2 linked regions of the Notamacropus eugenii genome follow. The protein of the gene in region 1 purifies or fractionates together with the protein of each later gene. This does not show direct contact. Links are inferred from orthologs where the notes say so. Each region holds a gene or a part of one and is shown on either strand. Other genes may lie near its edges.

Evidence for each region.
Region 2: the proteins of RNF185 (region 1) and TMEM259 purify together in Homo sapiens (affinity purification with mass spectrometry; 3 studies listed by BioGRID and IntAct, counting the BioPlex papers as one, with this or other methods). This does not show direct contact. The link is inferred for Notamacropus eugenii from reciprocal best matches to the Homo sapiens genes RNF185 and TMEM259.

The regions. Positions count from the first base shown.
Region 1 is NC_092875.1:13,959,927-13,967,462, forward strand, and holds the start of RNF185 (E3 ubiquitin-protein ligase RNF185), read right to left. Parts: upstream 3,020-7,536; 5' UTR 2,930-3,019; exon of another isoform or gene 2,875-2,929; intron 1-2,874. UniProt on the Homo sapiens protein: E3 ubiquitin-protein ligase that regulates selective mitochondrial autophagy by mediating 'Lys-63'-linked polyubiquitination of BNIP1.
Region 2 is NC_092875.1:61,373,552-61,381,150, reverse strand, and holds the start of TMEM259 (membralin), read left to right. Parts: upstream 1-4,543; 5' UTR 4,544-4,801; coding exon 4,802-5,092; intron 5,093-7,599. UniProt on the Homo sapiens protein: May have a role in the ERAD pathway required for clearance of misfolded proteins in the endoplasmic reticulum (ER). Promotes survival of motor neurons, probably by protecting against ER stress.

The sequences.
Region 1 (7,536 bases):
TATTCTTAGGAAGATTTCTGTAGATGTAGACTAGTAGGCATATGATCAGTAATTGATAATCTTTTCAATTATTCTTCCTGGGGTAGTAATATTATCTAATTTTTCCCCAAGCATTTGGTATCCTTCCCAACTTTCAGATATGCTGAGAAAGATACTTCAATGCCCACAAAAACGTTGCCTCTGTGTGGATGGATATTCTCTGTGCCTATCTGGTGCAGCTCCTGTCTAGTACCATTAGCTTGTTATCTGTTCCTCACATAACACATTAAGGGCTGTGATATTCAGGGTCTGTGTGTGTGTTTGTCCTTTGTTGCCGAAGAAGACCATGCCATCAGAGAAATAATGACATGACTTGCATTTGACTTTGTTTTGATTGAGGGAGGGCTGTGCAGGTCACCAGCCTCACTTCTCCTCCACAGCCATCTGAATCCAGTGACCAGATATTCATCAGGATGACTGGAGATGACCCAGGATGAGGCAGTTGGGGTTAAGTGACTTGCCCAGGGTCACACAGCTAGTGAGTGTCAAGTGTCTGAGGTGAGATTTGAACTCAGGTCCTCCTGACTCCTGCACTGGTGCTCTATCCACTGCACCACCTAGCTGCCCCTTATTCAGGGTCTAAAATGGGAAGAGAGACAGCTAGCTGAGTGATCCTAGACAAGTCCCTTAACCCTGTTTGCCTCAGTCTGTAAAATGGAGAGAGTAAGAGCCCCTCTTTCCCAGGGTGGTTGTGAGGATCAAACTGAGATCATGTGTAAAGTGCCCGGCACACAGTGAGGGGGACAGAAATGTTAGTGCTATCATTATTATTTCCAAGTTCAGTGTCTCGGTAGTTTGTTAAAGAGCCCGCTCTGTTTGGCCTCTCTCCATGTTTCATCCTTCAAGACTGTTTCTCTCTCTGTTCCTCTCCCCAGGCTTGCCCACCTCTGGCTTCCGGATTTCTTTGCATATATTCTTAATTCACAACGATATTCCACTCCCTCATTTGTCTCTTATTCCTTCTGAGTAAGGCACATCCTTCTGGACCGACTTGGTGAGTCTTTTCCCACCAAATCTCAGTGGTCAAACTTGTCACCTTTCCTTAGGATTTCTCATTTTCTGTGCTTGTTACCCCTGAGGAGAACCCTTAAGGTAAAAAATGCTGCCATTTAAAAAATCTTTACACCTCGCATGCCTAGCATAGTGCCTTCCATGTAAAAAAGAGCTTAATAAGGAGTCGTCAGGGCGCCTTATACAATGACAATCCTCTAGTCTCCCAGGCTCCTTCCTCTCCTCCCCGGCCCATCATTCACACAGCTCCCAAAGACTCTTCCCACTGCTCAGGTGTGACCATACCACTCCTCTACTCAAAAGCTTTCACTGCCCTCAATTTCCTTTAGGAACAATTCAATTTAAAGGGGACATAGAGACAAACGACAAAACGGTCCTTGCTCTCCCAGGATATGGTTGATCAAAGATAACAACATGTACAAAGATAAGTAGGCAGATACAGAAACAGAAAAAAGTAAGCACAAAGTACTTTGGGGTGGCAGGAGGGCACCCCAACAAGAGGCGCCAGGCATCGGTTTGGGAAAGGCACCAGAGCCAAACTGGAATCAAACCAGGGACGAGACTGAGGAGACTGGAAACATGGTGGTGCCTTCCCCGGAAATGGGCAAGCTCAAGAGTCCTGGTCAGCGGGACAGACAGACTCGGTTCTGGGCAGACTGCATGGGGGACAGCGTGGGATCCAGATTTCTCTAGTGGGGAGCTGGCACCAGGGATGGGTGTGTGGGAGAAGCAAGAGTGAACAAAGCACGGGAGGCTTTGAAGAGCCTCCTTCCACAGCGCTCTGCCCGACCTTCCCACTCTGACAGCCCTCCCTCCCCTTCCTTCATGCTGGGTGCCAGCTGGACCTCCTGGAATGCCCCTGCCCTCTCCCCTGCCTATGAAGCTGCTGCCAAGGGGCCCAACCCTGGGACCGTGCCTCCTCCTTTCCACAATCCCTTCCTCCACAGATCCCGGAGAACTTTGCCCGTGCCACTCCCGGGCTGGGGGGTGGGGCCCCTCCCTCTGCACCCCCAGAGCCTGGCACAGCGCTAAGTCTCAGAGAACCCGGGCAGGGGCGGGCGCTGCCCCTCGGCCCAGCCTGCAGCGCCTGGCACCCGGAGGGCCGGCTCGCGGGAACACTTCATGCCCATCTGGCAGACCGGGGCCGAGGTGCCCCGCTCCTGATGGCCGAGCTCTGCGTCACGTCCGCACTGACCGCAGCAGGAGCCAGACCCCCCAGGGAGGTCAGCGACGCGGCCACGGGCTACCAGGCCAGGAGAGAGCCCTGCGGGAGGGGATCGAGCATCACCGGGGAAGCAGGAAACAGTGCCCAAGGAGGGGAGGGGGCGTCTTGTCCTTGCGACTGCGCAGTGGCATGAGGGCCACAAGTTCAGAAGGGGCCAAGTTTCATACAGCGCATGCGCAAGCAGAATCAAAAGAGTTCCGGAACCGAGGTTCTCAGCGCTTACTCTGTTAGGGCGCATGCGCAAGCGGAGTTAAACGTGTACAAGAAGGCACGTCGTCACCACGGCAGCCAGTGCCCCTGATCTATGGCGCATGCGCAGCTTCGGGTTAAGCCATTCTAGTCAACGCCTCTCTTCTCAGCGCGCCTGCGCACTGGAAAGTTATGGGGGGCGTGTCACGGACCCAGACAGTTCACGAACGAGGCCCCCCCAACCTCCTATGGCGCATGCCCAGTAGTAGGTGGAAGGCGCGTTACGTCCCGAAGAGTCAGACCCCCACCTTCCCTTCCCTGCCACGGCGCCTGCGCAGCCGCAACCAGACCCTGAGAGGAGGTCCCAGCCCGCTCCCTCCCCGTCCCCCAATCCAAAAGCAGGCCCGCACCCTCAGGGAGTGCAAGCGGCCCCGGAGCGCCGAGGGCCACGGACCGCCGAGGTACCTCAGCGCGCGCTCCCTCGCTCCGTCCACCGCCCGTCACGTCAGTCAGGCTCCGGCTGCGGCGGCTCCGGAGCCTCCTCCGCGGGATCCCGTCACCTGACGCAGGGGATGGGGCCTACGCGAAGGCACTTCCGGTCCGCACCCGGAAGGGAACGGCGGGCACTGTGGGCGGGGACACCTTCGACCAGACGACCAAGGTTCCGCCCGCGGGCGAGGCACGTGGGATGCGGAAGGAAGAAGGATAAGCCCTGAATGTCAGGACTGGAGGGGCCTCAGACCAGGGGGGGTCAGGACCGGAGGGGCCTGAGAACAGGGGGTGTCAGGACCGGAGGGGCCTCAGACCAGGGTGGGTCAGGACTGGAGGGGCCTCAGACCAGGGGGGTCAGGGCCGGGAGGGGCCTCAGACCAGGGGGTGTCAGGACCGGGAGGGGCCTCAGACCAGGGGGATCAGGGCCGGGAGGGGCCTGAGAACGGGGGGGGGGTCAGGGCCGGGAGGGGCCACAGACCAGGGGGGGTCAGGACTGGAGGGGCCTCAGACCGGGGGGGTCAGGGCCGGGAGGGGCCTCAGACCAGGGTGGGTCAGGATTGGAGGGGCCTCAGACCAGGGGGGGGGCCTCAGACCAGGGCGGGGCTGGGCTGGGGGGGGCCTCAGACCAGGGGGGGGCTGGGCTGGGGGGGGGCCTCAGACCAGGGCGGGGCTGGGCTGGGGGGGGGCCTCAGACCAGGGCGGGTCAGGACTGGAGGGGCCTCAGACCAGGGGGGGGCTGGGCTGGGGGGGTGCCTGAGAACCAAGGTTGAAGAGGTAGGTGAAAGTTAGATTCAGGAAGACTTCAGATAACAGTTTGAGGAGTTTGCCTGTGATTTTAGAGGCAGTAGTGAACTCTCAGAGGCTTCTGAACAAGGGGGTGACGTGGTCAGACACGTCTTAGGAAGATTATTGTTGTGGCTTTGAGGAAGATGACCTAAGGGAGGGCACAAGCTGAAGGTGAGAGCAGCTCTCTGGAAGGCAGTGCCATGTCCAGGCAAGGCTGAGGCCTTGCCCTAGGGATCCTTCATCTCTCTTGTGGAGCTGTCAGCTGAGTCTGGGGGGAGGAGGCAGAGGCCAGCAGAAGAGCCTTTGACCCCAGCCTGAGAACAACTGCCCTACCCAGAAAGGCATGGCAGGTGGATTCGACTGGTGCTGGGTATGAGCGATGCAGAAAGGCAGCACCACGGCTTCGGCCCCCAGGGAGCGCACGTTCTAATGCAGGAGACCCCAAGAAAACAGCTTTATACTTGTGAGCTCCACATGGTATCACTGGGAGGCAGTCAGAGTGAAGGCGCATTCAGTGGATGGGGTCCCAGGAAAGCCTCCAGGAGCTGAGTCTTACAGGAAGCCACAGACTGTAACGGTAATTTAAGGTTAATGGTGAGTGGGGGGAAGAGTTAAAGATCTCCCCCTCCCATTAATAGGCCTCAGTCCCTTTTGTTAATCTCTGTTGAGGGTCCTGCCCTGGGCTCTGAGGTGAGGCTTAGCGTTTGGGAGAAGGTTGGTGTGCTAGGTGAGACTCTGGGCAGCTGCTGAGGAGCCCCTCCCCTTGGAAAGCCCAGATGTTGGTGATTTAGTGCTCACGGTCAGACAGTTGGAAGCTCTGTCTGTTGGTCTTGGTTTCTCTGAAGTTCAGGGGGCTGACTCTTTCGTCTGAACTAAGTGAATGATACATGTGCCTGATTAAAGTAGATTGCTGACTCCTCTTTTCAGAATAGCAGATCTGAGAACCTGTAGAGCAGGCCCTCCTGTGGGTGCCGGGGTCCTTGCTGTTACAAAGCCAGTGAAAGCATGGAGCTGGCAGTGTTTTGTACAAGGGATGGTGAGAAAGGTGGGAACAAGCCTTTATGAGGCACCTGCTGCGTGCCAGGCACTGTTCTCAGCCTTTTGCAACAATGACCTCATTTAATCTTTGCAGCCCTTGGGTGATACATGTTACAGTTACCCTCATTTTACAGTTAAGGAATCTAAAGTAAACTTTAGGCTAAATGACTTGTGCGGGGTCCCACAGCTAGTAAGTGTCTGGGGCTGGATTTGACTCCAGACCAACGCTCTGTCCGCTGTGGTATCCCCCTTGCTTCCTCTGGGCCAGTGCTGCTGGGGCATACAGCCCCAATTCAGGAATTGAAGCTAAAAAGATGAGTGCATTTGCCAACCTAATTCTATAATGACTGCCAACAGACTCAGAGGAAAGATGCATATTCCACAAGGTCTCTATGAATACTTACAAGAAATGAAATGAGATTTGAAAGTGAAATAAAAGCTGTAATCTAGAGGAAAGATCCCACCTTCCCTATTACTGTTGAGGATACCACTCTCTTCCCAGTCCCCCAAGGTCACAATCTAGGGGTCATCCTGGACTCCTCATGCCCTCTCCCCCCACATCCAATATGGTGCCAAGGCCTGTGGATTTTACCTGTGCAGTATTCCTTGTATGTCTCACCCCTGCATAATACTCACCCTTCTCCCCTCTGACACTGCCCCCACTCTGGTGGATTATTGCAGTAGCTGCTGGGAAGTCTGTCTGTCTCCAGTCTCTCCCTACTCCAATCCACCCTCCATCAGCTAAAGTGATTTTCCTAAAACCTACGTCTGATCACGTTGCTCTCCTAGAACTCAAGTTCCTGGGGCTCCCTGTTGCCTTCAGCAACAAAGACCAAATGCTGTTTGACATTCAAAGCCCTTTGTAACCTGGTTTCCTCCTACCTTTCCAGTCTTATACCTTCATCCTGGACAGGACAGTGGCCTTGGTTCCATTTCTTAGCTCTGTGCATTTTCTCTGACTGTCATTCATACCTGGAATGTTCTTCCTCCTCATCGTTATTCACTGATTTCCCTGGTTTCCTTTAAGCCTCTACCAAAAGCCTGTCTTCCACAGGAAGCCTTCCCCAACGTCTCTTCAGTCTAGTGTCTTCCCTTTGTTAATTATTTCCTATTCATCCTGTATATAGTTTGCTTGGTGTAGATTTGTTTGCACGTCGTCTCCCCCTTTAGATTGTAAATTCCTTGAGGGCAGGGACTGTCTTTTGTCTCTTTTTGCATCTTCAGTGCTTAGCACTGTGCCTGGCACATAGTAGGTACTTAATAAATGTTTATTGATTGAAGTAGCTTGGAAGGGAAAGTGATAAACCTTATTCAAGAAATGGGTGCCCTGAAAACTAGAGAATAGACCAACAAAGCAAGGATTTTATGAGACAGCAAGAAATAGTAGGGAAAAAATTGAGATTGAAAAAGAGAAAATATAAGATATCTGATTTTTTAAAAAAACTGACCTGGAAAAGGTCAAGGGAGATAATGTCAGGCATTGTCTTATGTAAAAACCATTATTTAAAAAAATTAAGTGCTGGACATTATATTTTAAAAAACCATAAAAGAAAACTTCTAACGTGTTAGAACCAGAAAACAAAGTCAGTAAAGATACAAAGAATCCACTGTTTAATTCCTGAAAGGAACCCAAAAGGGAAGAATCCCAGAAATGTCCCAGTCAATACCTAGAGCCCCCATGTCAAAGAAAAATTGCTACAAGCCTCCAGGAAGAAGTTTGGGGAATGAGTCAGGATCATACAAGACCTGGCAGCTTCTACTAAAAATGAACAGCGATCATGTAATTCAATATTCCAAAAGGCAGAAGAAGCATCTTAGAACTGAGAATAACTTGCCCTGCAAATCTGAGCATAAAAAACTACAGGGAAAGAAAAGCAGACCTTTCACGGAATAGAAACGTGATGAACAGCTCAAATAGAAAGGAACCAATCAATCCCTACCAAGTCACACAAATTAACATTATCCACATTGCGTTTTTATTTATTTTGTTAAACATTTTCCAGTAAAATACAACCCAGTTCAGCGTCATTCAGGAGTTTTGTGGGCTCACTGGCCACAAATTGGACACCTTTAGAATAGAGAATGCTCAGGTATTTCTGATGAAGAGCAACACTGAGGGAATTGAAATAGAAACTTTAGAAAGGTAACATCAACCATTTATTAAGCAATTACCATGTGCCAGGTACTGTGCTAAGTACTGGAAATAAAAATACAAGAAGAAAGGGAGGTACAGTTATCCTTTCCCCATCACAATTTCAGTATATTGCAGGTTGGCATAAGAAATTAAATGGGAATTTGGGGGGAGTTTTGTGGAAGCAGCAGATGACAGAAAAGGTTTAGAAACTCAGAAATAATAAAATATATGTATAGTATTATATAATGGCAACATATTTTATCTTTTAATACCTTAATAATTTAGACTTCTTCTCTGGCATGAAAGGAGGGCCACAGAATTTTATGTTGCTTTTCCAGATCCCTAGCACTGTGCTAGTGAAAGGGGTAACTGTATTCCCTGACTTCACATAGCTTACATTCTGGTTTTGAGAGAAGACAACAAACTGAAGGGAGCCAAAGATGAGGGTGGAATAGATGGCGTCCAAGTCCAGAGGGCCAGGAGTGAGGCAGCCAACACAGCTGGCCTGGGCACTTCCTTGAAATGGAGGGTCTGGGAAGAATTCATCAATGGGAGGAGGCAGGCCATAGCAGCAGCAGGATCTTCCAGAGGGACTTCACTCCAAGTTATACTCCAGACTCTC
Region 2 (7,599 bases), about 47 Mb from region 1:
ATTTGCTTGGAGTCATTTTTTACAGGTATTTTATGGGCTATGGGGGTAGAGTTAGAGCAGGTCCATCCTTGTACTCTGCCATTTTGGCTCCTCCTTCTCCATAAACATAATTTTAAAACATCAGTAAGATGCAAAGAGAAGATGAATAAATGGATGGGACTGGATGAGGTCATCAAGAGAAAGTATAAAGAAAGAAAAGATAATAGCTCTGGATAGAGCCTTGGGGTTCACCCACATTAAGGGAATTGGACTTGGACAATGATCCAGAAAAGGAGGCTAAGAAGGAATAGTCAGAAAGACAGGAGAAAAACCTGTGTTCTTCTGATATGAAGAGAGCTAGGTCATAGAAACCAAGTGAGAAGAAAGTAGGAGGGTGTGGTAGGCAGTGTCAAATGCTCCAGTGAGGTCATGAAGGATCATAGGATCATTAAAGGTCATCTGATCCAACCTCCTCATTCTAATCTTAATTTCCTCATCTGTAAAATGGACTTTGAGGCACCAGTTACAGCTGTATTGGTATTTTCAACTTTTAACAACATTATCTCATTGGATCTTCACTACAATCCTGGGAGATAAATGCTATTATTATTTCCAATTTACAGCTGAGAAAATCGGAGCAGACAGAGATTAAATGATTTACCCAGGGTCACAGAGCTAGTAAGTATCTGAGGTTAGATTTGAATTCCGGTCTTCCTGATTCCAGGTCCAGCACTCTATCCACTATGTCATGAGTTGACTAGAACAAATATGAAGGGTTTTGATGGAGTTCTCTTTAATGGCCTCTGAAGTGTCTTTAAACTCTAGATCCTTTATATCCCTAGTTGATTGGAAGACCTATCAACAACTTGAGCCTTAACCCATTGGACCAATCAGATCTCAAGGACAACTTCCATGCCTTTCAGGGGAAGCTGTAGCCTAGCCTACATGGTTTGGTCCACTGGAGATCTCTTCAAGACTTTAGAATCTGGGAAGGTAAGGAAGGGATGCAGTTTATACAAGGCTGTCATGGGGCTCCCAAACATATAAGAATGAAATGAGAAAATTTGAACCTTAAAGTCATAGATGATTGGTTGTTACAATTGCTTTCTGTGCCTCTGCCTTCCTCTAAAGCATCACCTCAAAACAGGCTAGGATAAATAGACTTCTGGGCCAGTTAACACATCTCTTTATTAGGCCCACAACCTTCCCAAGGCTGGTTGTGAGGATCTCTAACTAGCTTTATTCAACTGAAGGTCCCCAGCCCTCACTCTTAGGGCAACTAAATTCCATTCACTCCTTCCTTTCTTTAGCCTCTCACTTAGTCCTTTTCCTCCTGGAAAAGCACTCTTACTGCTTTCTACTTGCCATTTTTTCATTCCTTCTCTCCCATTTTCTTCCCTTTTGCAGTAATTGTTCAGTCATTCAGTCTGTATCTGACTCTTCATGACCTTCTGGACCATAGCCATAGCCCTTCCATCCTCCACTACTTCTCCAAGTCTACCCAAGTTCATGTTTGTTGTTCCTATGATATTATTTGTCCATCTCATCCTCTTTCATCCCCCTTTCCTTTCACCTTCAATCTTTCCCAACTTCAGAGTTTTTTCCAGTGAGTCCCATCTTCCCATTATGTGACCAAAGTATTTAAGCTTCAGCTTTGGTATTTGACTTCCAAGGAATCGCTTCAATTAATTTCCTTAAATATTGACTGGCTTGATTTCTTGTCGTCGAAGGGACTCAAAAGTCTTCCTCAGCACCACAGTTTGAAAGCATTGATTCTGCAGCACTCAGCTTTCTGTATATAGTCCAGCTCTCACAGCCATATATTGCCACTAGAGAAACGATAGCTTTGACCATATGGACCTTTGTCAGCTTTTGAGTATGTTGTCCAGCTTTCCTTCCAAGGAACAAGGGTCATTTTATGGCTGCAGTTACCATCTGCAGTGATCATGAGCCCAAGATTATAAAATCTGACGCTGTTTCCATTTCTTCTCCTTCTATTTGCCAGGAAGTGATGGAATCAATCACCAAGATCTTAGGGTTGTTTTTTTTTTAATGTTAAGGTCCAAGCCAGCTTTTCTACTCTCTTCTTTCACCCTCATCAAGAGGCTTCTTAATTCCTAGGTCATGCAAATTACCCTGAGGTTTGGAGTAGCCTCAAGATGGCACTGGAAATACAGACAGCTGGCTCCTTCCTTGCAGAGGCCACAAAAGTTTATGTCCTCCATTCCATGCAAAGTGAGAGAATTGGACTAGATGTTTTGTGAGGATCTTTTCTGTCTTGAAATGCTATCAGTGACTTATGGGAGAGGGCCCAGGAAAAATCTACTCTTCCAGAATCCCAGATTTGTCCCCAGCCTGGTTTCTTCCTGGGTCAATGTCTTCTTCCTCAAGAATTTGGAGCCTTCTAGTATGTAGTTGGTTGGCAAGATGCCCAAGAGCTTCTTCTTCCTTCAGTGTCTGGTTGGCAACATCACTTCAGTGATCCATGAATTCATAGAATTTGGGGTTGAAAGAGTTCTCAGCAGAGACCATTTAGTGCAACCCCTCATTTTATAGATAGGGAAACTGAGGCCCAGGGAGGTTAAAGTGACTTTCCCCAAATCAGAGAGCTTGTAAGTGGCAGTCAAGATTGTGAAGCTAAACCTTCCATTTCTAAATCCAATATACTTTCCAGTATCCCACTGGGACAACCCCTTTACTAGTTGATCTTCAGGAGTTGGCTAAGGTCTCATCACTATCTTGTCAAGTCTGGTGATGAGCCTCTCAGAAGTTAGCTATGTTGGTCCTCAGGGGACTGACATAAAGGGCTATTGACCAGACTTTGGGTTTTGGCCTTGTAAAACTTTGTTAAAACATTTTGGAGATACCTTGTTTCCCAGAGCTAAGGGCCAGCAAACAGGCTGTGTCCTGACCTTGACAACAATAATCTTTTGCACTCTGGATGATCTCACCCTCTGGCAAAATGTATTGCACCAGGTCTTCAATCCTTCTATTTCCCAGTGACCTGAGAGCCAATATCTACCACGTCTCTGACATGCTCACAATCCCTGTCCTTGTCACAGAATTCTGGTTCTGTACCCCATAGAATAATCATGATCCCCAAGACTTGGGACAATAACGTTTCTATAGGACCCCTAGGAACAATAACGCAAGACCTAAAAATGATTATATCATAGCCCAGTCCACATGTATATAAACATTGCCTGTACCCCAACATGTTAGACCCTCGTCAGGAGCGGGGCTTCCTTGGATGCAAGTCATTTTCCTCACTCTGAAATAAATTATACCGCTACTTTGTATCCGGACACATCTGCCTCTAGCTCCTCTGGCCATGCCCAGGTTAGAGACTGGTCCAGTCTGGACTCCATTCAAAATTCTATTGACAACCCAGAGAATCTTTGCCAAGGAAATCCCATGGATTTTCCCAGAGAGCTCCACAAGGATCATGGGTCTGACAGAACCGACAGAACTAAAACGACTGAACAGTTACAACAATCCTAGCCCCTGGCGCATAGTGGGTGCTTAGCCATTGATTGTATCCGGGACCAACACACAGTAAGTGTCTTGAACTGCGTGTTTGCAAGATCTCTTTGAGGTGAACACTATTATCCCCATTTGACAGATGGTGAAATTGAGCGTGAGGAAATGTTCAGTGACTCGCCCTCAGGCATACAACTAGTAAATGCTGAGCTGGGGTTCAAGTCCACCACTTTACCTCCATTCCAGGGTGTTGAGGTTTCTTCCTCTTCCTTCCCCGCCCTGATCTCACTACACTTATGCTGCCTCTTACAGGACAATAAAAGAGGGAGGCCACCTGGAGCACAGGGATGCTCCTTCCACCCTCCTCTGGAAGCTTTGGTCCAGGGGTTTCAGGTACAGGTTGCTACGTTTCACATTCAGTTGTACACAGGCTGAATGCTCCTGGCCTCCCTATACATGAGAGCGAGCGAATGTGAGCGTGTGTAGATATATAAACACATACAGATATACACATATTTAGACATATATACAACCTCCAACAAAGACCCTTTCCAGCTCTGAAATCCCTCGCGTCTGCCAGGCGTTACAGAAAAACTTTGGAGGAGTTTGAAAAAATATGGAACGCTTCACGAATTTGCGTGTCATCCTTGCGCAGGGGCCATGCTAATCTTCTCTGTATCGTTCCAATTTTAGTATATGTGCTGCCGAAGCGAGCACGAAAATCAGGGGCTAGCTCCTGCTATTTAAGGCTGAACAATAGATCTATTTTATGATTAGGATGACTAGTATTGCCACACATCATTTTTCTTTTTATTCTTCTCTAGATGAAGCCAGTCTCAGAATAAGAACTCAACGTATAATTGAAAAGTAAAATTTTCCCACTTTATTCGTGTTGCACTAGAAATGCGGTTGCATTTGCAAAACTTCGAGTCGAAGCTTGTGCGGCGGTGGCTCACGGGAGAGTATGCAAAAGACGCCTTGGCTTGGCCCCGCCTGGGCGGCCGGGAACGGAGGGGAGGGCCGGAGAGGGGGAGGGAGGGAAGGGCGGAGGAACCGACTGGAGGGCGGGGCTGTTCCTCCAGCGTCCCAGGATTCACCGCGGGCGAAGCCGTCTCGTCAGCAGGGCCGGGGTCGCGGCGACTGAGGCGGCGAATGGCGGCCTGTAGGCGCCTGTGAGGAGGCGGCGGCGCGGCCGGAGGAGAAGCGGCGGCGTCCGGAGCGTGGGGCAGGGGCGAGGGCGAGCACCCGGCGGGAGCGCCGCGGCCCAGGAGGGGCCCCATGGCGGCTGGGCCGCCTTCCCTGGGAGCCCCGGCCTGTTAGCGCCCCGGCGGCCCAGAGCAGAATGTCGGAGAACCCGCCGCCGCCCCCGCCCGGCCCCGGGAACGCCCCGGGCAGCGGCCCTGCCAACTCGGCCGGCGGGGCTGGGCCCGGGCCCGGGGGGGCGGCGGCCGGAGGCGGCGGGGCCGGGACCCCCCGCGGGGCGCGCACCCCCAACCTCAACCCCAACCCCAACCCGCTCATCAACGTGCGCGACCGCCTCTTCCACGCGCTCTTCTTCAAGATGGCCGTGACCTACTCGCGCCTCTTTCCGCCTGCTTTCCGCCGGGTCTTCGAGTTCTTCGTGCTGCTCAAGGTGAGCCCGAGGGCCGCAGCACCGCCCTCCCCCCCGCTCCGCCCTGCCGGGCTCAGCAGCCCCCCCATGGGCGTCGTGCCCCCCTTGTGCGGAGCCGCCACCCCCATGGACGTCCAGCCCCCCAGTGCCCCCCTTGTGCAGAGCCACCCCCATGGACGTCCAGCCCCCCAGTGCCCCCCTTGTGCAGAGCCACCCCCATGGACGTCCTGCCCCCCAGTACCCCCCTTGTGCAGAGCCGCCCCCATGGACGTCCTGCCCCCCAGTACCCCCCTTGTGCAGAGCCACCCCCATGGACGTCCTGCCCCCCAGTGCCCCCCTTGTGCAGAGCCACCCCCATGGACGTCCTGCCCTCCAGTACCCCCCTTGTGCAGAGCCGCCCCCATGGACGTCCAGCCCCCCAGTGCCCCCCTTGTGCAGAGCCGCCCCCATGGACGTCCAGCCCCCCAGTGCCCCCCTTGTGCAGAGCCGCCACCCCCCTGGACGTCCTGCCCCCCAGTGCCCCCCTTGTGCAGAGCCGCCAGCCCCCCTGGATGTCCTGCCCCCCTTGTGCAGAGCCGCCACCCCCCTGGACGTCCTGCCCCCCAGTGCCCCCCTTGTGCAGAGCCGCCAGCCCCCCTGGATGTCCTGCCCCCCAGTGCCCCCCTTGTGCAGAGCCGCCAGCCCCCCTGGACGTCCTGCCCCCCAGTGCCCCCCTTGTGCAGAGCCGCCAGCCCCCCTGGATGTCCTGCCCCCCAGTGCCCCCCTTGTGCAGAGCCGCCACCCCCCTGGACGTCCTGCCCCCCAGTGCCCCCCTTGTGCAGAGCTGCCCCCCTGGACGTCCTGCCCCCCAGTGCCCCCCTTGTGCAGAGCCGCCCCGATGGACGTCCAGCCCCCCAGTGCCCCCCTTGTGCAGAGCCACCCCCATGGACGTCCTGCCCCCCAGTGTCCCCCTTGTGCAGAGCCGCCCCCATGGACGTCCAGCCCCCCAGTGCCCCCCTTGTGCAGAGCCGCCCCCATGGACGTCCTGCCCCCCAGTGCCCCCCTTGTGCAGAGCCGCCCCCATGGACGTCCTGCCTCCCAGTGCCCCCCTTGTGCAGAGCCGCCCCCATGGACGTCCAGCCCCCCAGTGCCCCCCTTGTGCAGAGCCGCCCCCATGGACGTCCTGCCCCCCAGTGCCCCCCTTGTGCAGAGCCGCCACCCCCCTGGACGTCCTGCCCCCCAGTGCCCCCCTTGTGCAGAGCCGCCCCCATGGACGTCCTGCCTCCCAGTGCCCCCCTTGTGCAGAGCCGCCCCCATGGACGTCCTGCCCCCCAGTGCCCCCCTTGTGCAGAGCCGCCCCCATGGACGTCCTGCCCCCCAGTGCCCCCCTTGTGCAGAGCCGCCACCCCCATGGATGTCGTGCCCCCCTTGTGCAGAGCCGCCACCCCCCTGGACGTCCTGCCCCCCAGTGCCCCCCTTGTGCAGAGCCACCCCCATGGACGTCCTGCCCCCTGGTGCGGAACCCCCCCATGGATGTCCTGCCCCCCTTGTGCAGAGCCACCCCCCCATGGACGACCTGCCCCCCCAGTGTCCCCCTTGTGCAGAGCCGCCACCCCCATGGACGCCCTGACCCCCAGTGCCCCCCTTGTGCAGAGCTGCCACCCCCCGGACGTCCAGCCCCACAGTGCCCCCCTTGCGCAGAGCCTGCCCTGGAGCACTCAACACTCCCCTGATGGACATCCAGCCTGCAGACCCTGTGGTCTGTGATGGACATCCTGCCTCCCTAGTCTTTAACAGCCCCTCCCACCCCCTACCCTTTGCCTTTGAGGGCTGTACTTCACATTGATCTGACATCTTGTCCCCAAAAGTCTTTAACACTCACTATTTCCTCCTTGCCCCCCAAATCTGGGCCCTCTGCCTTCATCTGAGAAGAGGGGGGGATAGTGAAGCTATTTGTGGATTTGGGGGATCTGAATCCAAACTCGAGGTCTTGAGCTTAAGAGCTGTGTGACTGGACCCCCTCAAGGCTTGGTTTCCTGTCCTTACTTGGATGGAGGTTAGACCAGGTTCTAAAACTGATTCTGACCCACTGTCCTGCCCCTGAATCAGCCAACAAGTATTAAAAGCTTACTATGGGCCAGGCACTGTACTGAGTGCAGGGAACACAAAAGACTGGGACCCAGTGCTCAGGGAGATAACCTTCTGGTGGGAAAAAAAACATGCAAGCCTTGTAAGAGCCATATAAAGGTACACACGGGGAAAGACCCTGAGGATTTTAAAACCTCCACCTCGGTATCCCTTTCCAGATCCTATCCCCCTGCAGCCACTTTCATGAGTCTGTGCCCCCCCCCCCCAATTTTGGAAGGCAGGATAGTGCATTGAAAGAAGCAGTATATTTGGAATTGGGGGGATCTGAATTCAAATCCTTTCTTTGCCTCTTTATAGAGTTGTGAGATGGACTTACTTTTACCGCTTTGGGACTTCTTTTCCTTTTTGAGAAGTTTTAGATTGGGTGACCTCTAAGACCTTTATCTGTGTTTCTTTGATCC